3 linked regions of the Rhinolophus ferrumequinum genome follow. The protein of the gene in region 2 binds, or shares a complex with, the protein of the main gene of each other region. Links are inferred from orthologs where the notes say so. Each region holds a gene or a part of one and is shown on either strand. Other genes may lie near its edges.

Region 1 (6,842 bases), on a different chromosome or scaffold from region 2:
GAAGTCACTGTAGCGGTGCTTGACTGTCCATTCATGATTGCCATCAGTGACCTGGATGATGTAAACCTACGAGGGAAAACAGGCAGCCCTTGCCGAGTGAGTAACAAGGAGAGCCCCACCCCGCCCCCAGCAATAGCTGCAGGATACCCAGACCCTCTCAAGCCACAGGACAAAGGTAGGCTGCCCTTCCCCACCAGCCTTTGCACCTGACTCTTGTTGCACAGCAGGGCCCCCTCTTAGCCTCCTCAACGGCACTAACACTGTATCTGGCAGGAACACAGGATGTTTGTGGCTCTAGCCAACAGAGAGGAACGGAAAAGGTGACTATCATATCAAACCATCTCTTTAGATTTTTACCTCCAGTCTCCAGGTAATTCAATGCCCAATCCAACCTGAGCTGCACGCAAGGCCATCTCTTCCAAGGGAGGCAGAACAGGGCCGGGTCTGGCAGGGCTAGCTTCTCTGTTGTATGTTTTCCTAGGTGCCCTGCCCATATCCTGGAAGCAAGCCCTAGTCTAACCCTTTCAGCTGGATCACAGCTGCGATTTCTGCTGCTGAGCCAGTAGTCAAGGCACCAAGAAGCTGATGGATGGGTGGGACGGGAGGATGGTGATGGACTATCAAGCCCTAACAGAAGGCAAAATGACTTAGCCGTCAGGGGAATGGGATCAAGGAAGACCTCAGGTCAACACCTGACTGCCATTGCCTGGCTGTGCTTATGGACGAGTCACTTATATAAGTGACTGGGAAGCCTACGTTTTCTCTGAGCCTCAGTTCTTCCATCTTAAAATCTGCTAGGTTTAAGAATCAAATAAGGTAATGCATGTAAAATGCTTTGTACAGGGCCTGCCATGCAGCAAGTGTTCAATAAAAAGTAGGTGTGTTAATAATATTCAGTTCAGCACACCCGGAGCCAAATGGTAGGTTGGCCTGGATCATCACATCCCCCACACCCATTCAGGAGTGGCTCAGCCCTGGCCAGTAAAGACAACTTTTGGAGCTGACCCTCCAGCTGAATGCTGCCCATGGGTGATTTCCAGCCAGCCACCAGCTTAGAGACCTCAACCCTCACCTAGTGTCCTGCCCCACACTGCAGCAAGCAGGGAAGGGGGAGAAGAAATTAATCAACTCAGCTGAAGCCTCCACAGAGAGAAGCAGCCATTTCTCCAGGGCTGGCCTGTTGCTCCAGGATCCGCCCCCAGCCCCTCTTCCCAGCAAGGCAGCTTCCCTCCTCCTCGTGTCCAAGAAAGGAGAAAGAGCCAGAGGAACGACCCTCAGGAGGAGGGTTAGGATGAGGGCCAAGGGGGTGGGGCGAAGGCAGGGCCAAAGACCCCCACCCTCTGGGAACAAAGAATAGGAGCTGGGAGGTGTTCAGTACGCCCCCACCTCAGGACCAGACCCTGCCAGGCAGCCTACCAGATCCATAGGCCTGGCGTCCAACCCCATCCAGACCCAGGAGGGTTCCATCACTGCCCTAAACCCTCCTCTTTCATATCCTCCATTTCTCCCATAGCCTGGACGGGTGTGTTTGTGTGACTGTGTGGGAGGGGCTTGCTGCCCCAACTCGCCCCCAAAGCCATGAAAACACCTAAGGTTCCTGGGTCTTGCACTTTCAGCCCTGAGCGAAACCCTCAATGCCCCCATGTGTGGGCTCCACCCTTACCTCTTTCTAGTCTCGGCCTGAACCCCAGGCCGCTGGGCCCGACCTGGAGCAAATCTCAACAGCGACCCTAGGTTCCCCAGATCAAGGCCCGGCCCCCTCTCCTCTTTCGCGGCGAACAGGGCCCTGACCCTTCCCCCGATTCCATCCATCAGCGATCCTCTCTTTAATCCCCCTCCTCCCGGACCCCCTCGCCTATCCTCCCAGGCTGGCACCCTTCCAGGCCTAGAGGATCTAGAGGACCCTCCATCTCGTCTAGACGTCCTCTCCTCCCCAGACCCCCTTTATCCCCTGATCCTCCCCAGATCCTCCCCCCGACTAGCCTCCTTTCCTGAACAGGTACTCTTTCCCCAAAAACCTCCCTGGGCTCTACCCTAGGGCCCTCTTCCTGGACCTACGGGGCCCAGATCCATTCCCCAGAAACCCCTATCCCCGGCCCCCTCCTCGAAATCGCTGGCCCGCTACTCATCCCTCCCCGGTCACGGAACCCAGACCTCCTCCCCAATCCCCCGACTCGGACTCGGGGTTCCAGCCGCCACCCCCGGTTCGGGCACCCACGGCCCCAGCACACCGTATACGTGTCCACAAGCTCAGAGCCCACGACGCGCGCCTCCTTGGCCGGTTCGGCCTCCCGCTCCGGCCCAAAGCTGCGCGCTACAGTCGCCATGTTCCGGGTTTCACCGCCTCCCGGCGCAGACTGGCAGCAGCAGGGGGCGGGGTCAGCGTCCCACCATCCCCCGGCTCCCACCGGCCCCCGCCTTCGCCGCGCCCCGTGCCGCCATCTTGGCCCCACCGCCTCCTCTCGTTTTCGCCCCGCCCCTCGCGCATAATTGACAGCAGCCACTCACGGCGCGCGTGCGCAGGCCTGTCCGCTTGCGTAATCTGTATCAGGGTGGTGCCGCCGGTCACGCTACTAGCAACCGGGGGAAACTGAGGCCCCGTGCAGGTAGCTCTAGGCATTACCCTTCCGTGCCCGGGAGGGAGGACAGAAAGCTCCACGCGTCCTCGGCTACCCGAAGCAAGTCACTGCTCCGCCTGGCTTCAGTTTTCCTCTCCGAAAAAGGGAGGCAGTAATCGCGCTAGCTCTTAGACTCGTTCTAGGCTAGAAACGGTTGAAGAAGATACGAGCTGTGCGTAGAGCCTAAACAGGGACAGAGAATTCTGGACCAGTTCTTACCCTCTCCAACACTCGGAAATCTCTGTTACATGGGCTGCTGGAGAATTGAGTGGGTTAATGCATGCAGTGTCCGGTTCAAAGGCAGGGAGCTGGTGTGGTTATCAAGACGGGGCTCTGCATGGTGGGGGTGTGACGGTGGAAGGAAGGGTTATGTGCTGGCCGTTGGGCACAAGACATGTGGTGACCTACCGGAGCTTGAAAGGGGGTGACAGACTAGCCCTGGACCCAGGAACTACAGTGCTGGAATGGGAAGCACAGGCACAGAGATAGAGCCCTAACCCGGGGGCAGACCTGGACCTAAAAGAGGGAGGTAATAGCCCAGCTGTGGAGGGGAAGGAGAGGGAGAGTCTGGCACAGACAGGGTATCTATAGGTGTGTTTGTTGGCTGACTGAGTGCAGCTAACCAAACCCAGAACAGTACTATGTGGAGATGAGAGGTCCGGGTTATGGCTCCTCTGGCACCCTTGGCTGAAGGGCTCCAGACCACTCAGTCCTAAGGTGGGTCAGTGACTTCCTTATCTACCAGTTCATAGCACTGTGCTCAGAGCTTCCCACTCCAGGCTTCCCTTGGCAGGGCCCTATACTCCCAAGCCTCTCCTTGCATACAGCTGCCCTCCACTGCAGAGTGTAAGACAGGGGCTACCAAATCAGCCAGACCTTGGCCACATCACCACCCCTCCAGGATCCTCAGTTTCCTTATTGGAAAGTGGGAGTAATGTCACCCACCCCCCTGCTTGGATGGGAGGTTGAGCTGCTGTGTAGGGGCCTGGCCTGGGCCCCACTACTTTGCAGCTCCTGTCCTGTCCTGGGCTCATGTTTTCATTCATTCAAGAAAACTTTCCAAGGAGTCCCCTAGAGGCCATGGGGGAACAAAGGGAAAGAGACTTGGTCCTTAACAGGCCTTCATCTCCTTTTCCTGGGCAGAGGACACAGGGACTCAGGCCAGTCTGAGATCACCAGGACCGGGGGAGGGGGTGGAGGATGCTCCACACTGGGGGGGGGGGCTGGGCCGGAATGCAGCTGGGGCAGGGCTATTTAAGCCCAGGGCGGACTGCCTGGCAACCCCAGCAGCCTGCCCTGTGAGTCGCCGGCATGGACGACATCTACAAGGCAGCGGTGAGGGACTGGGCTGGGTGGACCCACTGGGGGCTCACTCATCTCAGAGTGCGGGGTGGGGGGGGGAGGGCAAGGTCACTCCAGGGATGTGGTGGGGGCCCAGGAGAGGACCCACATACTTTCAGCCCAGGGCCTCAAGGGGATGGTGGGTCTGGTGTTCTGGGTGTTGAAGGGATTCAGGGACTGGAGAGGATCTGTCAGAGTGGGTAGAGGAGGAGGTCACACCTTGTAGGGTCATGTCTGTCCCTGTCTCCAAGTGTCCAGTCTGTATCCACATCTGTGGTCTCTCAGCCACATCTCTGCGTTTGTGTCTTTGGTCTCTGGAGCTTTGCTTTTCTCAGCTTCTTCTCATCTTTGTTCTAAGCTGTCTGAGTCTCAGCCGCTGTCTCCCTGTCCTCACCCACATTTCTGCCCCTCATATTCTGCTTCCCACACACTCACAATCCCCCCCGCCCCCTCCAGCCCCTTAGCTGGCTGAAGATGCTGTGGAGGAAGGGGGTGACAGGAGTTGTAAAGAGCGGGCTGCAGAGTCAGAATCCTAAGCTAGGGAAGAGACTTTCATGTCTGAAGCAGGCAGGGAAGGACTGGCCACGGGGGAGACTGGGAAGAAGGAACAGAGAACTGGGGCCCAAGCCCCCATCTGGCCCGGCAGGCTCTGGGCTCAACGGCTTAGCCAGGGGTGAGGGCTGGAGAGTGGTTACCTCAAGTCCCTGCAGCCTTCTGGGCTCACTGAGGGGCTTCAGATGCCATTGTATCGGCGGGGGGCTGGTTTGCTGACCTCTCCCTGCGCCAGAGACAAGGACATCTGGTACAGACAGCTGTCCCCAAGGGAACCCCTCCCTTAGCCCTGGGATTGTGGTCCCACTCCTAGGCAGGGAAGGGCTATAGCTGGCTCTGGGGGCACCCCTTCCTATCCTGCAGTAGTCCTTGGAGCTGGGGGGAGCAGCCCTCCGCCTGTGCCCATACAAGGCCTGGCGGGGCTGGGGGCTAATTTTGGCTCCTGAGGCACCAGCAGGCCAGGGGGCCAGATAACACTGCCCCACCCCCTGCATGCCACAGTCCCCAGAACAATCACCAGGTTTAACTTTGTCGCCCGTTAAAAATAGCCCAGTGGCCATGCCGGTCAAATTACAGTGGGTGGCTTTACCTACCCCCACACTGGGTTTATTGTCCCAACCTGAGGGACAGCTGTCCCTCGGGCCACCCAGCTTGGGTTTCAGCAGGGGTCCAATTGGGCACTGAGTGGTCACTAACTATTGTTATTCAGGGTCACCTAGTCAACGGAGGGTTGCCCACCTGTCACCCTGGCCCTGAACCCAATCTCAGTGAGGCCGGCTGGGTCACCTCAGGGTTTTGGGGGCAAGAAGGGAGGACTGAGGCCTCCATTATGTGACTTGGAAATGGCACGCCTCTTCCTGGCTTCAGTCTTCCCACCTGTGGAATGGGTTGGTTTCCTCAACAGCAGCTAAAGCCTGGAGCCTGAGTCCTGAGACCTCTTTTCCTCTCTAGGTAGAGCAGCTGACAGAAGAGCAGAAAAATGGTGAGTACTCCAACACACATGTAAGGAAACAGCAGGGCCGGGCTGTGGGAACAGGAGGACCCCAGGCTGGAGAAGAGAGGCTGGGGTCCCTCTCGTTGTGACCTCAAAGGCTCAGAGGGAAGTGGGCAGATTGGCCTGAGGGGTCTTGCCTTTTGGGGTCCTGGCTGCTGAGCCCTGGCCACTCTGTTTTCCACCCCCCGACCATCGGACACAGAGTTCAAGGCAGCCTTTGACATCTTCGTGCTGGGCGCTGAGGATGGCTGCATCAGCACCAAGGAGCTGGGCAAGGTGATGAGGATGCTGGGCCAGAACCCCACACCTGAGGAGCTGCAGGAGATGATTGACGAGGTGGACGAGGATGGTGAGCTCCTCTGCCCTACAGGCCCCAGACCCCCGGGTCACTGGGGACCTGAATCCTGCGTCTGCCACTTATTATCCTGTGCTCTTGAAGGAACAGTTTAGCCTCTCTGAGCCTCAGTCATCTAATATATAAAGTGGGCATAATGACCACCTTGCTTCATGGGGTTGGTGTGTGGATGCAGTGAGAAAAACGGAGTCTAGGTTCAAGGGCGATACCAGTCATTCTGACCATCCCTCTTTAATGGCCGTGTCACCTACCCTCCAGGCAGCGGCACAGTGGACTTTGATGAATTCCTGGTCATGATGGTTCGGTGCATGAAGGATGACAGCAAAGGAAAGTCTGAGGAGGAGCTGTCTGACCTCTTTCGCATGTTTGACAAGTGAGCATGTGACCATTGACCTCTGACTCCAGCTCTAGCAGAGCTCGGGAAAGTGGAACAGTCTTGTGACCTCCAGGCCTCAGTCTCCCTTTCTGTGTAATGGGAGAGTGGGATGCTCCATCTCTCAGTGGCCCTGCTTCCCTGGGTCATGGGTGGGGCTGCCTCTTCCCCTCCCCAGTCCATGGCTCTGAGACCCGCCCCTGCCCCGGACTCACTGCAGAAATGCTGACGGCTACATTGACCTGGAGGAGCTGAAGACAATGCTTCAGGCTACAGGTGAGACCATCACGGAGGACGACATTGAGGAGCTCATGAAGGATGGTGACAAGAACAATGACGGCCGGATCGACTATGACGGTGAGGGCGTGATGTACCGGGTTTCCCACTGCCCACACCGTGCCAGCCCCCACCTCTGACCCATGCCTGTTACTCTCTCCACAGAGTTCCTGGAGTTCATGAAAGGGGTGGAGTAGAGGCCGACCCTCTCCCAGAGCTGCCTGTGCCACCTTCCAACTCCAGCTGGGCCCTGGGGTGGGGCAAGGGGCCGGTGTCCCCAGGATGTGAGCCTGGGCGTGTCCTTGACCGCAGGCCATCCCTGACTCCCTCCCC
Region 2 (7,579 bases):
GCTTGAAATTCTGGGTCCCTGCCATGGATGGGAGGGGCCAGCCTGGCCAGGTGTTCTCCCTCCCTAGGCCCCAGGCAGGCGGCTGTGCTGGCCCGCCCTCCTTCCTACCCCCTCGCCTAAGCGTGGCAGATAGGCAGGTCTGGGCCGGCGGGCTGCTGAGTCAGTTTGCAAGGAATGTTCTGGCCGCTCCCAGCTACACCCTGCCCCTGCCTGCCCCCACCTCGCCCTCCTCCCCAGGTGCTGCTCGCCCCGGCCCGCCCGTGCCAGGAACGCACCTTCATGCCGAGCTTGCTTAGACCAGCTCCCATCGGCAGCCAACCCCACTCCTCACCCTGCTGCTCCCCCCATGACCCCAGCAGGTCCCTGATGCCTCTGAGCCCCCGTCATCGTGCTCCCAGGTTACTCATGGTTCGGGGGTCACATGTGTGAACATGGCCCACCTGTGTGGTGGGCAAACCACGGTGGGCCTGAGGCCAAGGCAGAGATGAGATGGGACCCCAACAACGACCAACAGGCAGGGCCCTGGGCCAGGGGAATGAGGGGGTTTCCTGAAGGAGAAGGCCCTGCAGTGAGGGCGGAAGGCTCTGCAGGGAGGACCAGCGAGGGCAGGGCCCAGGCTGCCCAGGCCTGGCGTGCTTGGCTAGGGCTGGGGGCTGGGGAGGTGGCCAGGAGGCCGGGCCTGTGGCGGCTGAGCCGGCACTTTGGCCAAAGCCCAGGGCCTCCCTCTCCTGGGCTCCACTCAGAACCATCACCCCTGGCCACCCCAGGCTGCCTCCTGGCCCAGGCAAACCCAAGCTGGCTGCTGCTGGGCTGATGGAGCGGTGGACAGGGGACCCGAGGGGCTATCCCCACAGGTGACCCGGCTGCCCCGGCTGTCTCCCATCTCCTCCAAGCCAGCAGGGTGGGAAAATGGGGCGCCCCACAGACCCCGACAGCACACCAGCCCCAGTGGGCACCACAGCTGAAGCTGGGCTCATACCAGACCTCATGGCCAGGATCCCCTGTGAGTTGTGGGATCCCGGGGGGGGCATGGGGATGGTCCGGCCCAGTTGGGGGGCAGCCACTGGACACAGAGGCACCTCAGGCCCTTCTGTGTGCCCACCCAGGGCCCCGCTGGGCACTCATCACCGTTGCTGCCGCCGCCGGTGTCCTCGTGGTTTCCTGCCTCCTCTGTGTTCTCTGCTGTTGCTGCCGCCGACACCGCAGGAAGAAGCCCAGGGACAAGGTGGCCGTGGGCCTGGGCAGTGCCCGCAGCAGCACCACCACCCACCTGGTGAGGAGTGGCTGCCAGTGCTCGTCAGTGCCCAGCTCCCAGCTGGGGCCGTCCCAGAGGGCAGCTCAAGGTCCAGGCTCCGGGGCTCAGGGTGGCCCAGTGAGCCCAAGGCTGAGCTCAGCTCCAGGGCCGGCTGGTCTGCCCAGATGCAGGGGCCGGGGGGCCCCCTTGGCAGGGGAGCCATGAGCAAAGTGGGGAGGGAAACAGTGACAAAGAGAGGCAGGTGGGACCAGGGCCTGAGGGCCGGGAGTGCCAGCCCCAGGGATTGGGCCGTGTGCCACGGGGTGCCACAGCAGTTTCTTGAGGGAAGCAGTGGTGCCAGAGATGGATTCGGGGAAGGTCCCTCAATTCTGGCCGGTCTCAGAGCTGAGCTGAGGGTGTGAGCCCTTCCGGTGGCCTGGCTGGAGGTGGGTGGTTTGACCCGAGTCCCGGAACGAATGCCTGGTAGGCCCAGGGCTCCCATGGGGGCACGGTTCCAGCAGCACCTGTCAGCAGTCCCTACCCACTCAGGTGCAGCCGGAGGTGGGTAATGTGGAGCCCCCACCCCAGCAGTGGGGGCGCCTGCAGCTATCCCTGCAGTACGACTCAGGAAGCCAGCAGGTGAGGGCCCCACTTTGCGGGCCCAGAGGGTCTGTGGGTTTGTGGTGGCTGAAGGGTGATTGCTAGGTGCTGGGTGCTGGGTGCTGGCTGCTAGGTGCTGGGCACTGGGCACTGGATGCTGGGTGCTGGGTGCGGGGCTGACCAGGGAAAGCCCTGGCTGAGCCACATCCTGGCTCCCAGATCAGGGTGGGCCTCAAGCAGGCAGTGGACCTGAGGGCCAGGGGCCCGGGGGACACAGCAGACCCCTACGCCTCCGTCAGCCTCTCCACCCAGCCCAGGCACAGACATGAGACAAAGGCACACCGTGGCACACTCAATCCCGTGTTTGATGAGACCTGCTGCTTCCATGTAAGTCCGGGCCTGATGGGTGGGGAGCCTGGGCCGGGTGGCAAGGGCTGGCTCACACTCCTGCCCGCAGGTCCCGCCAGCAGAGCTGCCCCAGACCACCCTGCAGGTGCGGCTTCTCGACTCCAGGTGCTTCTCCCAGCATGAGCCCCTGGGCGAGCTCAGTCTGCCACTGGGTGCCATTGACCTGCGGCACGTCCTGGAGCTCTGGCACCAGCTGGGCCCCCCGGGCACCACCGAGGTGAGGCCACTGACCACCAGGCTCCAGCCTGGCTCTGTCTGGTGCCAGCAGGGAGGCTGAGGCCCCCTCTCGCCACCCACAGGCTGAGCAGACCGGGGAGCTGTGCTTCTCGCTCCAGTACGTGCCTGGCTCAGGCCGGCTGACCGTGGTTGTGCTGGAGGCCCGAGGCCTGAGCTCAGGGCTGGCAGGTGAGGACCGTACCTGCCCACATCGAGTGGACAGAGGGGGGCCTGAGGGCTTGGCTGTCAGATCTGCATCACCCTCCAACCTCTTTTGCCTGCCCAGAGCCCTACGTGAAGGTCCAGCTCATGTTGAACCAGAGGAAATGGAAGAGGAGAAAGACATCTGCCAGGAAGAGCACGGCCAGCCCCTACTTCAATGAGGCCTTCACTTTCCTCGTGCCCTTCAGCCAGATCCAGGTAGGCCTGCCTGGAGGCAAGGGAAAGGCGGGTCTTCACTGGGGGACAAACTGACCACTGTCTTTCTCTTCCCAGAGTGTGGATCTGGTGCTGGCAGTCTGGGCCCGGGGCCTGCGGCTCCGGGCCGAGCCGGTGGGTAAGCTGGTGCTTGGCGCCCGGGCCTCTGGTCAGCCCCTGCAGCACTGGGCAGACATGCTGGCCCATGCCCGGCGGCCCGTCACCCAGTGGCACCGCCTGCGGCCCCCCAGGGAGGTGGACCGGGCCTTGGCCCTGCAGCCCCGCCTGCATCTGCCCTTACCTGGCTCCTGAAAGCGTCTCTGTGCCTCAATCTCCCTGGACTGGGCTGGGGGTACCCGTCCAGGCCCCTCTGTGGGGCCCACGGCAATAAATTCCTCCTCCTACCACCGCTACGTGTCCTTTCTGAGCCCTCAGGGGACACAGTAGGGTCAGGAGCCCCTCCCAAGGACAAGGAGAGGGTTTCTTCTCCAGACTCAGCCAGGTCCTGAGGCTTCTGACCAACGCCTGACCCCGGGTGGGGTGGATGGGCTCCTCCAAGCCCAACAGGGACAATACCAGGAGGGGGGGAGCCCTCCTGTCTGTGGGGGTTGGAGCATCAGGGATGGCGTGGGGGGAGGGGAGACGTCCCCACGGGCACAGGGTGGGCGATTGGGAAGCATTGCGGGGAGCTGGTGATGGTCGATGGAAGGAACCCCAACTCCAGGGACTGCCCCGGCTCCTCGCAGAGCCCCAAAACCTGCAGGACAGTGGCTGCAGGGCCTCCTCTGTGTGAGCAGCAGGGGGCAGCAGATGCCTTTGGAAGCTGCTGGGGCCTCTGGGGGCTCAGCGTGGCCGGGAAAGAACGCAGCTCTAATCCCCCACACATCTGGAGGCCTCAGCTCTCCCTGACCCTCCCCACGGCCGAGACACGGGCAGGGCTGGGGCCCGCACCCCAGCTCAGAGGGTGCCAAGTCATGGTTCTCCAGATGCCTCTCCTGGGTGGGGGCCCCGGGCGGGGGACACAGGCCCCAACCAGGGTGAGAAGGGCAATGCCGGGCCTGCCTGGGCCCCAAGCCCCTCAGGTCAGGGAGGGTTTCATGAGGGTGGTGTCACCATCCTCGCTGAGGGACGTGTTCCGAGCTGTGCAGGAACGTCCCTCAGGCAGGGCGTCCCTGGCAGGCAGCACGTCCAGGGCACCCCCGTTCCTGTTCCCCAGCAGGCGCGGGAAGGCAGGATCCCACCCAGGGGAGGGCAGCCCCACCCCAGAGACCCCCGCCACTGCTGCAGGCCCCAGCCGGCTTGGAGAAGGGGAGGCGCAGCCAGCTCGTGGCTGAGGCGCCTGCTGGGCTGAAGGGGGACTGTGAGCTGCAGAAGAGGTGGCTGCAGTGTGGACCCTGGTGTAGCACCAGATGGGGCCAGGCTCCCAGGGTCCCCTCAGAGACCCCTGAGCCCTGCACCGCGGCCCCCCCACAACCCCCCCCCCACAGTCCAGCCAGGCTGTGCATAGTGGCCTCAGGCTCCTTGTGAGTGAGAACCAGGAGTCTTCCTGAACTCGTCAGAGATCCCTAAATAGAGCAATCCAACCTCAGTACCCCCCTCCAAGACTTCTTGGACTAGACGGCGGCACGAGGCTGGGCCGGGCCAGGCAGCCTGGGCAGGTGGTGAGGTCCCTGTGCCCCCATTGGTCTGAGAAGGGCTCCATGCCCTTTCTGAGCAGGGGCCCAGCCTGGGGGAAGCCATTTATACCCCTCCCCCTGGGCCCACCAGCCCGACTTGCCACTGCCAGCCTGACCTCGCTCCCAGCACCGCTGCCCAGACGTTAGGTGAGGCCGGCCGGGCCAGCTGAGGCTGGGGACAGGCACCACTCGAGACAGCTAGCAGGAGGACTTCCCTGGGTGGGGGGCTGGGGGCTGGGGGCCTCCAGCAACCCTGTCTGGGGGGCTTCCATGGAGCTAGGAGCAGGAGGGCTGAAGTCGGGCAGGGGTCCTGGACAGCCCCTGGTGACCAGGCCTCATGTCTGGGACACGGGAAGGGGGCTTTAGGGTTGAGGGACCCCAGGTCAAACTGGGGAGCAGCTTCTCGCATGCACTTGGGCCCAAAGCCGAAGGAGCAGAGCTAAAAGTAGCCAGTGGCTCTGGCAGCCACCTGTGCTGGGCCATCTCCCCCCTCCCTTGAGGACAGCTGCCGAACCCCAGGCCCTGCCTGGGACATTTCTGGAACACTTTCTCCTCTTACTTCTCACCCCAGGGAATTCCAAGACATCGTCCCCACTGCCCAAGGAGGTCAGAGTTGGGGACAAAGGGCTGGGTTCATGTGAGGTGCTGCACAAGCCACCCACAACCACGAGCAGCTAATGTCCGTGGCAGAACGGGTCTGTGGCCCTGACACCCCTGCCTTTCTCTCCTACAGGCTCTAAGCCCAGGACCTCAAGATGGGGGAGTAAGTGGAGTCCCCACCCCTGGTGCCCCGTCCCCCCCGTCCCCCTCCCCCCAGGCAGGGGTCTCTGCGTCTCCCCAGCAGTGACCCCTGCCCACCCTGGCCACCTCCTGTCCCCACCCGCCCCAGCACATGGCCCTAACCTCTGCCTTTTCTCCTCCACCTCCGCCTGCCCTCCTGGGACAGTGATGAGGTGAGTACCTTCTTGGGGTGAAGCCCAGGGACTCGAACCCCCACTTGGGATAGGTCAGGGGTCAGAGTTTCAAGCCCCAAGGAGACACCCCACCCCCAGACATTGATGCAACAGAGGAAGTGGCTGCCCGGCGCCTCCTGGGGCAGGGGAAGTGGGACTGTGGCCTGGTCACCAGGGGGATTGCTTCTTCTTTCTGATTACTGCACCCCCTCACCCGGCCCTGCACCCCCGCCCTCCCCACTGCCTCTGAGCTGGAGCCTCTTCTCCACACCATGCAGGGTAGTATCCTGGGCCGAGCCCCCAACCAGGGCCTCGGGGCTTCCTAGACCCAGCTGCCTCCTGAGCAGGACCCCCTGGCCTGGGCGGGGAGTGTGAAAAGGATGTGGGGTTCTGGGGGCTCCAGGCTGGTCCTGACTCTGCCTCTTCTTCCCGCCCTGCAGAAGCGAAACAGGGCCCTCACGGCCCGCAGACAACACCTGAAGGTAGGTATGGCTGGGGGAGGGCCGCTGGGGGTCTCCCAGGCTGAGCCACAGCCCCTCACCCGCCCCCCCTGCCCCCCACAGAGCGTCATGCTCCAGATTGCCGCCACGGAGCTAGAGAAGGAGGAAAGTCGCCGCGAGTCTGAGAAGCAGAACTACCTGGCAGAGAACTGCCCCCCGCTGCACATCCCTGGCTCCACGGCCGAGGTGCAGGTACCCCAAGCCTCGAGTCGAGCTCCTGCCTCTCGCCTCAGTTTCCCCATTGGGCAAGAGGACTAGTAGGGTGGTCAGGGCAAGGGGGGCCGAGTGTCGGGACGGCCGCCCACCTGCATGTCCACCCCCAGGAGCTCTGTAAACAGCTGCATGCCAAGATTGACAAGGCCGAGGAGGAGAAGTATGACATGGAGATGAAGGTCCAGAAGAGCACCAAGGAGGTGAGAGGTGGACGGGCAGGGGACACGGGGGGAGGGGGGTGGGGGGGCAGGGCGCCCCGACCCGGTGGGGTCCGGCCCCGCCAGCTCCTACACAGCCCTCCCCATCCCTACAGCTGGAGGACATGAACCAGAAGCTATTCGACCTGAGAGGCAAGTTCAAGAGGCCGCCGCTGAGAAGGGTGCGCATGTCGGCCGACGCCATGCTTAAGGCTCTGCTGGGCTCCAAGCACAAGGTGTGCATGGACCTGCGGGCCAACCTGAAGCAGGTCAAGAAGGAGGACACCGAGAAGGTAGGCCACTCCGCCATCCCTGCAGGGCTGACTCCCCCAGCTCCCTCCCGGGGAGCCCATTCACAGAGGGGGAACGGAGGCTGAGGGTGGTCTCCAGCTTCCTGGTGGGCTGCGTGGGCCTGAGACTTTTCCTGGCCCCACGCCCAGGAACGGGACCTGCGTGACGTGGGTGACTGGCGGAAGAACATCGAGGAGAAGTCTGGCATGGAGGGCCGGAAGAAGATGTTCGAGTCTGAGTCCTAGGATCCCCGCCGCCTGGTGGTCGGTGGGGCGCTCTGGGCTCCCAGCACAGAGTGCAGGAGGGCAGGCCGACAGAGCTGGCCGGACGACCAGGCTCACGTCAGCTGTCAATAAAGGCTTCCAACCCGAGACTGGTTTGCTGTGGTTCTGCCCCAGCCTCTGCCTGCCGGGTGCCTGGAGCCTCTGGGTGCCCGCCACGCTCTGGGAAGGCCCCATCAGACGGTGGTGTGCCAGAGCTGTCAGCCACGTGCTGGGGAAGCCCGGGATGAGGGCATGGGGGAGACATGCACGGGCTCCGGGAATTTCAGGCCGGGTTGGGAAGGCCCTTATACTGGAATCCACCCGGCCTGCACCCTGCGGTTGCGTGGGATGGTCGGTGGTCATTTCCAGGGTGCTCTCCAGAGCTTTCTCTAGAGATAGATGGCCCAAGTCGTGTCTGAGCAGGAATTCTCAGAATGAGGTCATTTGTCCGTTTGCACAGTCATCATGAGAGGCCCCCACCCACACAGAGACCCCCTCCGTAAGAGACAAGTCCCGGCGAGGGGCCACGGCAGGTATGCACAATGTGGGCAGACCCCCATTCCTGTCAGGCTGCCCGTCTAAGACCCCACACCCTCCCACAGGGGACACAC
Region 3 (7,974 bases), on a different chromosome or scaffold from region 2:
CCACATCCCGCTGCTGGACTCGCCTCTTCTAGGAGCCGGAAGGCGCTCGGGTGGCGCCAGCCGGGGTGGCGCCCTGCCCAGCCAAGCTGCCCCTGACACCCGCTCTTCGATCCTTCCCTCACTCAGACCAAGCGCTTTGCAACGATTGCTTTTATTCCTTCTAGAAAAGGATCCCGAAAGGGACCGCGCCTCCCTCCCGGGCGGGGAATGGCACGGAGCGGGGAGAAGCCCCGTCACCCGAGGGTGGCGCGGTTTCGGTGGGCGAGGGCCGACTTCTTACTGCACGCCCTCCATCATCTTCAGGAACTCTGCGGGAAGGAGAGAGAGGGACAGGCGGTCAGGGGTCCCCTCGGGACGCAGAACCCTGCGCCGGGGGCGCAGTGTCAGGGGGCGGCGAGTGAGGCCGGGCCAGGGCGCCCGCCGACACCGGGCGCGCGGGAGGAACCCGGTCAGGCCAGCCCCGCCCCGCCCCTGAGGCTAGCCGCCCGCGTGGGTGCCGGCGGCACGGGTGCCCCGCCCTGGATGCGCTCCACGCGGCTCTGTCCCGGCTCCCCAGGCCTGTGGCCCTCACCGTCGAAGTCAATGCGGCCATCGTTGTTCTTATCCCCGTCTTTCATCAGGGATTCGATCTCCTCATCTGTCACGTGCTCCCCAGAGGACCTGAAGATCTCAGCCAGCTCCTCCGCATCGATGTAGCCGTCTGCGTTCCTTCGGGCCGAGGGACAGGGCGGGACTCAGGGCAGGCAGGGGCTCGCCGCCCCCGCCACACTCCACACCCCACTCCCAGCACCCCCACCCCGAGAACCCTTCGCGCCCTGCGGACCGGTCTCCGGCTGCTCAGCGCCTGCCTCGGCTCCCAGGCCCCCAATGCACCTGTCGAAGACGCGGAAACACTCGGCCAGCTCCTCCTCGCTCTTCCCTTTCGCGTCCTCTTTCATCTGGCGCACCATCATGACCAAGAACTCCTCGAAGTCGATGGTGCCGCTGCCTGAAGGGAGCAGGTGGTGAGTGACCCTGAGTCCCGGACACCTGGCTGCCCGCCTCTCCCGATTCCCCCTCGCACCCTGCCTGGGGAGGCCACCCGCTCACCGTCCTCATCCACCTCCTCAATGATGGCGTCCAGCTCCTCTTTGGTGGGTGTCTGGCCCAGCATTCTCATCACCGTGCCCAACTCCTTGACGCTGATGTCCCCGCCACCATCAGCGTCAAACATGTCAAAGGCGGCCTTGAACTCTGCGAAGTGAAGGAAGGCAGAGGGCTGAGGTAAGCCTGGCTGGACTGTCAGCCTCACATCTACCTTCCCACCCTGCCCAGATACCAAACATCCCCCCAGCAGACATCAACCCTACAGTTAGCCTGCCACTCCACTCACCAGCGATCATCTCCTCGCTGAGGTAGGACCGGGCCTCGGCCTGCTGGTCTGTCTGCAGAAGACACAGAGTCAGATGACAGAAGGGGCAGCCCTGGGGCAAATTCTTGCCTTAACCCCTGTGTCCTCAAGCGCCAGCTCTGTAAGTGCCCCTTGGTCATCAGGAAGAACAACTCCAAACTAGCCATCCCTTCTGCCTGCCCCCACAGCCCCGGACCCCAGTTTTGGATAACTAGAGAGGAAACATTATGCCCAAGGCCTTCTCGCTTGTCAATCAGAAGTCAAGTCAGGAACCCCCCCAGTAACCTTGGGGGGGGTCACTTGATGTCCCCTCATATCCTCACCTCTTCTGAGCAGCTTTTCAGGGATGAAATGAAATTAGGGCTGTGAAAGGACTTTGTAAAGCGCCAGCACCAGTCCAGCGTGATTTCCCCATTTTCCCTAGCTCCTAACTGTATCTCGTACTTTAATAGGTGCTCAATAAATGTTTGTTCTCAAATAAATCACACAACACCACGTTCCTGAGCACCCACTAAGTGTCAGAACATAACCCAAGCACTAGGACCACCAAGCAGACACCTCATCCTTCCCCTCTGGGAACTTGCAGAAGTGGAGATGTTTAAGCTTCCTTCTTATGATTCAGTCATTAGAGTAAAGGCCACTCATGCCAGGCAGAACATGATGGGGGCCTTGCAGGGGTGAAAATAAGATTCCCGTGGGGTTTCCAGTCACATCTAAGCCAAGCCATCTGGATAGGGGGCTTTGGACTGTGGCTGGTGGTGAGGAAGGGCTGAGGCACCCAAGAAGTTCCTCTGGCTGGTGGCTGGCCCTCCTCCTTGCCCCCCTCCTCCTTGCCTGTGCCAGGAGGACAAGCTAATTTTAGGCTGGTGAGGGCAACAGCAGCTGGCCTCCAGGGTCTAGTTACTCCTTGAAGTGCAGTGGAGAGGGGGATCTCAGAGAAAGATGATAGCTCCAAAGCAGACCCCCTCTGTGGGAGGCTGGGGTCTCTCTAACTCTGGCCTGTCATCTTCTGCCCCTTCTCATAACCCTTGGAGCTTGAGGCCCTGGAGGCCTCCCACCTTCCAAAGGAGACTTTCTTCTCCCACTGGCAGGAGGGTTTGGCCAGGCTTCTCCAGCCTATCCCTGCCACCGGTTCGCTGGTGTGACTCACTCTGGCCCTCAGGGTCCCCATCTCTACCAAGCTAAGGTAGACACAAGCTAAGACACCCCCCTCACAGGTCAAAGACCAACATTGCTGGAAGTCCTAGAAGGTCTGCAGGAAATCTGCACACCTTGAGGGCCAATGCCGGGGACATCCCCGCCCTGCCTTCCAAGAGAAGTCCAAGGCTTTCCTCCCAGGCTTCCTCCTAGACACCTGGGTTGCAGGAACCTTCACATTCCATCTTCAAACATCCAAGTTACTGTTCCACAGAGCACTCGGATTTGGCTTTAAAGAGCCCAGGCGTCCTCCAGCAAGCAAAGGGATGAAGTCCCTTCTTGTCCTTACCATGGTTCCTAGTCACAGGGACTCCTCTGCTGCTGGTCACCTCCTCTGCACTCCACCACCCAAAGATGCCCTGGCCCGCTCCAGGCCCTGGGATTTGTAGGGGCACCTTATCCTCCCACCTCCCTGCTCCCCAGGACTGGATGCCCTGGCCAATCAGATCCTGGGGTCAGTGAGTCCCCCCTCCTCCCGGAGTCCTAGCCCATTGCCTAATTTAGCCAAGGGCCCTTGCAGAGAAATTGAAGCCTCAGAGCAGGTGGCAGGCCTTGACGTCCTAGATTCTTAGAGGAGAACCCGCCCTGCTCCACTACCTTCGCGAGCCCCCTCCAAGAAGCACACTTGCTCCAAGATGGGTGAGGACAATCAGAATAGAGAAAAGTGAGGCTACGCGGTGGAATGGGGAAGCACAAACCTTGAAGTCCAAAACCCAAAATCTAAGTCCTGCCTCGGCAGGCTGTGTAACCTTGGACAGGTGGCAATGCTGCTCTGAGCTCCTGTTTCCTTGTCTGTGAGAAGGGCACAGTCATAACCTCCCTCACAGAGAGACTGTGGTACACAGGAGCCCAAGTATAAGTCACCTAGCTTGTGCCAGCTACATACTGTTGATGCTTGGCAAATGGAATGTCCTGTCTTTGAACAGGACCCGAGGAAGGGAAAGTGACAGCCACAGTTATTGAACCTCTACAACATGCACACACTGTACTAAGCATTTTAACCACATTATCTCAGAGCTCATCTAGTACTCATCCTGTGGGGTGCCAACTATTGTTATGCCCTTTTTATTGGGGAGCTTTGTAAATCATAAAGGTCTATAGTCAGATTGGTGATTCGTATTAATCTTGACTGAGGGGAACTTGGGACAGACACTTCTTGGGGGACCCATCCAGACGGAGAATTGTTCGGCCGGGTCCAGGAAACAGGATGTGCCCTTGGAGGAGAAATCAACATTGAAAGCAGATTCTTCTCTGAAGTTTACCTTCTCCAGGGAAAGGATTTGGAGATTTACTTTTTGGGGGAGGAAGAGGACCAGAGGAAGTTTGTCTAATTAGATAAAGGGGCAGCGGACCCCTTGTTGGAGCTTGGGGGTGAAGTCTGCAGGTGCTCAGCTGACCATCTGGAGAGTAAAAGGGTGAGCAGATCAAGTCACGTCTGAAGGGGTCCTAGCCTGAGAATCCACAGGGTCCAGCCTGGGCGTTGGGAAGTAGGCCACACTCATGACAATGGTTAAGGCAACAGAAAGAGCTCTGAGACAACTGAGCACAGAGTCTGGGGCCAGTGAAAGGGGGCTGGACACCAAGGTAGGCAGATGGACAGTGGCAACTGGGCTGCCCTCTTCCCCTATATATAGACATTCCCAAAGGAAAGCTCAGAGGAGCCAGGCCAGGCTAAATAAGGCCTCTCCAAGCCAGACAGAGGGCCAAGGGGCGATGACACTCAAGGGATTCCAATTTGGACACAAACGTTGGAACCACTTGATCCCTTTGGAACAGAGTGTGGAACTCTCAGCAATCATTTGTTCATTGATTTGTTATTTAATTTGTTCAGGGGCATAGATAACATCCACATTTAGTGTGGCCAAGCAAGGTCCCACTGACCACTCCCATCTCACTCCCCTTCCCTCCCCACCTTGCATGCTGCTTTGCTTTGGTCCAATGAAAATACAATTCAAAACACCACCCTTTATAGCCTCCAGGCCTTCGCACGTGCTGTTTTTTTCTGCCAGGATCTTCCCATCTTCCCGCTCTTCATCTGCTTACTTCTCTATCTTTCTCAGCTTTAGCATTACTTCATCCAGGATCCCTCTTCCTCTACACCCAGGCCAAGAGAGTCTAAGGTGGTCTCCAGTAGTTTCCTCAGTCATAACACTGCACGTGCCCCATGATCACAACCCGTTCTGAGTTCCACAGACAAGAGGCGGTGTCCTAGTCACCACTGCATTGCCCAGTACCCAGCACTTGGCACTTAGCAAGGGTTCAATAAAGATTGTGTGCTTTGTAAGAATAACTGAACTGAATGGCTACTGGTTCAATACAAGAAGGAAGTCACCGTTGAAGAACAACAGGAACAGGCAGCCTCAGGAGGTGAAAAGCTTCTTGTTACTGAATGCATGCAAGCAGGAATTTGATGACCATCTCTCCATACAGAGTCTAAGAGTAGTGCAATACAGGACATCAGGAGATCTCCTTGTTCTGGCCCTGTTTGTGTGTCCCAGGGTAAGCCCTTTCCCCTCCCTGAGCCTCAGACTACCCATCTGGAAAATGGAAGTGCTAGGCCAGATTTCTGAGAGACCCTCCTGCTCTGACAACCCATGGTTTTATGAATACCTGCTTTGTACCCAGATTGTGAGGCATATACCAAAGTACAACTTAATATTCAGCCAATGTTTGGTGAATGAGTGAGTGTTGAGTGAATGAATGAATGATGTGTCTTTTTTGCCCCAACACCATGCTGGTAAGCTGAATGAAGAGTAGTTAGAACTTTGAAATTACACAGACTTGGCCTTAATTCCAAGCTCTCCTATTTCCTAGCTGTGGATTTTGGGAAAGTCAATTTGCCTCAGTTTCTTCATCTTGAAAATGGACCGTCATTGTCCAATAACAACCCCTTCCCTAGGATGTTGTGAGGGTGAAATGTGACCCCATGCAAAGTGCCTAGAACAGGATGTACACGGAAACTCAATGGAACCTCAAGAAATGAGAGCCCCGCCCCCTCTGCACGTGGGATGGCAGGGAATGTGTTTTCCATTCAAAGCTATTTTCCCCTACCCCCCTCTCCTGTGCCATTCAAAACGGGTGGGAGCTACTATCAGAGCGATTTTATTTGTTCGGTTGTATAACTAGCAATATCTGCCCTGTTAGGGACCAATATCTGGGCCTTCCGACACAGGCAGCGACAATAAATTCTTCTTCACCTGCTGCTACCATCCCCATAACACATAAAACACAGCCCTCCATAGATGTTGCTCAAAATTAGCGGGCCTGCTGCTTAGGAAAAGAACAGGGAAAGAACTCAGAAACCTGGGCTATTAGGCCCCATACTCAGAAAACTCTTGGCAAGCTGTGTGACTTTGGGCAAGTAACTCAGTCTCTCTGGGTTTCTTACCCTTTTGCCTACTTCCTTTATGTGAGGCTCAAGTGGAATTGTAAAAGCCTATGAACACTGTAGAAACAATAATCATGTGACTGATCATTCTGTAAATCCCTGCTCTGTGCCAGGCACTGGACTACGGTCCTTACAAAAGCTGCAAAATTAGTACTAGTATTAATTGTACTTTTATACATGAGAAAACCTAGGCTCAGCGCGGTCAGATTCCAACCCAGATCACGGGTCTTCTCTTGGCCTTAGTTTTCTCACCGGAAAGATGGGTTTCCCACTGTCACGTAATGACTTTGGAGAGTTCAAGAGTGCTGGGTGGAAACTAGGGGCTATATTGGGTCCAGCCTGAGTCTCCGGGATGGGTGAGAGGATTCAAGGAGGGTGTGAGCCCCGTCGGATTGGAGACGATACCGCAGGAGGCCTGGGGCTCGCCCAGGCCTACCCAGGATTCCCAAGTCTCTCCTAGAGCAAAGGGCCTGGGATTCCCGGGCGTCTCCGGGTAGCGGGCGGGGCTGGGGGCGGGGCGGCGGCAGGAAGCGGCAGGAGCGGCGCCCGGAGCTGCTGGGCCGGGCAGAGCCGGCCCGGCCTCTGTAAACGGCCGGGGGCTGCACCGGGACCCCTAGGCAGCGACGCGTCCCCGAGTGCTCCGCTGAACGCAGGAGGTCGAGACGCTACAGGGGGAGACAGAGACGTGGGTAGTAGAGTCCCGGCCCCTCCCGGGAAGTGCGCGGCCCCAAGCTGTGCGGGTGAGGGGAGGGGGATGCGAGAGGAGTCCCGGGACTCTCAGGACCCCACCGGGCAGGGGCGGGGCCTCCGCGGCGTCCCTCCCTCCCCCAACCTGGACCCCTCCCCTCCTCCTTCCCGATCGGGGCCCGGGTCTTCCGCCAGGGCTCAGGACCCACAGTCACGCACTCCCCCTAGGGTGCCATGGCTTCGCGGCTCCTGCACCGGCTGCGGCACGCTCTGGCCGGCGAGGGCCTCGGGGAGGCGGCGGCCGGTCCCGAGGTCGAGCAGTTCCCGGAGAGCTCGGAGCTGGAGGACGACGACGCCGAGGGCCTGTCCTCCCGTCTCAGCGGCACCCTTAGCTTCACCAGCGCCGAGGATGCGGACGACGAGGACGAGGACGACGACGAGGACGACGGCCCGGACCCACTGCCCCGTGGGGACGAGGCGTCGGGAGAAGACACAGGCGAGTGCGGAGGACGAAGGCGGAAACCTTGGGGGCTCGATTAGGCCTCCACCACGGCCACCTTCCCGAGATGGTCACAGGGCTCTGAGTTGATCTTGCCCAAACTCCGAAATTCTGACACTTTGAAGTGTCCCAACCACCTCTTGAATGTGTGACCTTGAGAGAGTCACAATACCTTTTTGAACCAAGTTCTCCCTAGTGTCAGATGGGGGAAATCACTCCCTTCTCAGAGTTGTTGCAGACATTAGCTGTACCAGAGTCAGGGATACAACGTGGTAATGTGCTAGGGATGTCTTGGGGGTGCAGATATTAAGTTAGTGCCTACTGTGCACTTATCTGCCAGGCACGATGTTGGGCATTCAGGCCCTCTCTGGCCCTCAGTTTCCTTTTATGACAAATGGGGATAAAGTTATGTCACTTGTTGGGAGGATGAGTAAGGTCATAGAACGTGGTTTATGTGATCCTGGCTCCGGGCCCATTGATGTGACTGGTCTGTACTCATGCAGAACAGAACCCCCCACCTGATGGGCAGCGGGGTAGTCAGCACCTGGCACGGCAATTGCAGGATTTCTGGAAGAAGTCCCGGAACACCCTGGTACCCCAGCGGCTGCTCTTCGAAGTGACCAGCGCCAATGTGGTCAAGGACCCCCCCTCCAAGTACGTGGTGAGTGAGTGTCCAGGAATTCCTGAGCTGTGAGTCTACAAGTCTAGCTAAGAGAAAGTAAAGACGACTCCAACTTCCTTGGGGGGAATGTGGCTATGTGGATATAAATGGCTGCCCCCATTTTACAGATGGAGAAACTGAGGCCAGAAAGG

The links.
Region 1: the proteins of TNNI2 (region 2) and TNNC1 are in contact, whole or in part, in an NMR structure (PDB 2MKP), measured with the Homo sapiens proteins. The link is inferred for Rhinolophus ferrumequinum from reciprocal best matches to the Homo sapiens genes TNNI2 and TNNC1. Residues at the interface, in NP_001139301.1 of Homo sapiens: Arg116, Met117, Ser118, Ala119, Asp120, Ala121, Met122, Leu123, Ala125, Leu126, Leu127, Lys130, His131, Lys132; in NP_003271.1 of Homo sapiens: Asn18, Glu19, Phe20, Ala22, Ala23, Ile26, Val44, Met45, Met47, Leu48, Gln50, Pro52, Glu56, Phe77, Met80, Met81, Cys84, Met85, Lys86, Asp87.
Region 3: the proteins of TNNI2 (region 2) and TNNC2 are in contact, whole or in part, in a crystal structure (PDB 1A2X), measured with the Oryctolagus cuniculus proteins. The link is inferred for Rhinolophus ferrumequinum from reciprocal best matches to the Homo sapiens genes TNNI2 and TNNC2. Residues at the interface, in NP_001076252.1 of Oryctolagus cuniculus: Glu5, Asn8, Arg9, Ile11, Thr12, Arg14, Arg15, Gln16, His17, Leu18, Lys19, Ser20, Val21, Met22, Leu23, Ile25, Ala26, Glu29, Leu30, Glu33; in NP_001076114.1 of Oryctolagus cuniculus: Ser13, Glu15, Met16, Ala18, Glu19, Ala22, Lys91, Leu96, Glu98, Cys99, Arg101, Ile102, Phe103, Arg105, Ile119, Phe120, Ala122, Ser123, Glu125, His126, Val127, Glu131, Ser134, Leu135, Asp138, Phe152, Met155, Met156, Val159, Gln160.

The regions. Positions count from the first base shown.
Region 1 is NC_046300.1:48,074,284-48,081,125, reverse strand, and holds the start of TNNC1 (troponin C, slow skeletal and cardiac muscles), read left to right. Parts: upstream 1-3,830; 5' UTR 3,831-3,929; coding exon 3,930-3,953; intron 3,954-5,462; coding exon 5,463-5,493; intron 5,494-5,707; coding exon 5,708-5,854; intron 5,855-6,118; coding exon 6,119-6,233; intron 6,234-6,453; coding exon 6,454-6,590; intron 6,591-6,674; coding exon 6,675-6,706; 3' UTR 6,707-6,842. Other genes in the region: NISCH (nischarin), read right to left, coding at 1-66, 2,232-2,327. UniProt on the Homo sapiens protein: Troponin is the central regulatory protein of striated muscle contraction. Tn consists of three components: Tn-I which is the inhibitor of actomyosin ATPase, Tn-T which contains the binding site for tropomyosin and Tn-C.
Region 2 is NC_046294.1:1,219,439-1,227,017, forward strand, and holds TNNI2 (troponin I, fast skeletal muscle), read left to right. Parts: upstream 1-4,576; 5' UTR 4,577-4,698; intron 4,699-5,284; 5' UTR 5,285-5,306; coding exon 5,307-5,314; intron 5,315-5,497; coding exon 5,498-5,504; intron 5,505-5,944; coding exon 5,945-5,986; intron 5,987-6,067; coding exon 6,068-6,196; intron 6,197-6,327; coding exon 6,328-6,417; intron 6,418-6,530; coding exon 6,531-6,707; intron 6,708-6,854; coding exon 6,855-6,950; 3' UTR 6,951-7,076; downstream 7,077-7,579. Other genes in the region: SYT8 (synaptotagmin-8), read left to right, coding at 910-1,003, 1,107-1,273, 1,784-1,873, 2,054-2,221, 2,292-2,459, 2,542-2,647, 2,745-2,878, 2,954-3,187. UniProt on the Homo sapiens protein: Troponin I is the inhibitory subunit of troponin, the thin filament regulatory complex which confers calcium-sensitivity to striated muscle actomyosin ATPase activity.
Region 3 is NC_046306.1:12,303,769-12,311,742, reverse strand, and holds TNNC2 (troponin C, skeletal muscle), read right to left. Parts: upstream 3,013-7,974; 5' UTR 2,880-3,012; coding exon 2,877-2,879; intron 1,425-2,876; coding exon 1,373-1,424; intron 1,234-1,372; coding exon 1,090-1,233; intron 989-1,089; coding exon 874-988; intron 709-873; coding exon 572-708; intron 309-571; coding exon 277-308; 3' UTR 136-276; downstream 1-135. Other genes in the region: SNX21 (sorting nexin-21), read left to right, coding at 6,897-7,158, 7,665-7,822. UniProt on the Homo sapiens protein: Troponin is the central regulatory protein of striated muscle contraction. Tn consists of three components: Tn-I which is the inhibitor of actomyosin ATPase, Tn-T which contains the binding site for tropomyosin and Tn-C.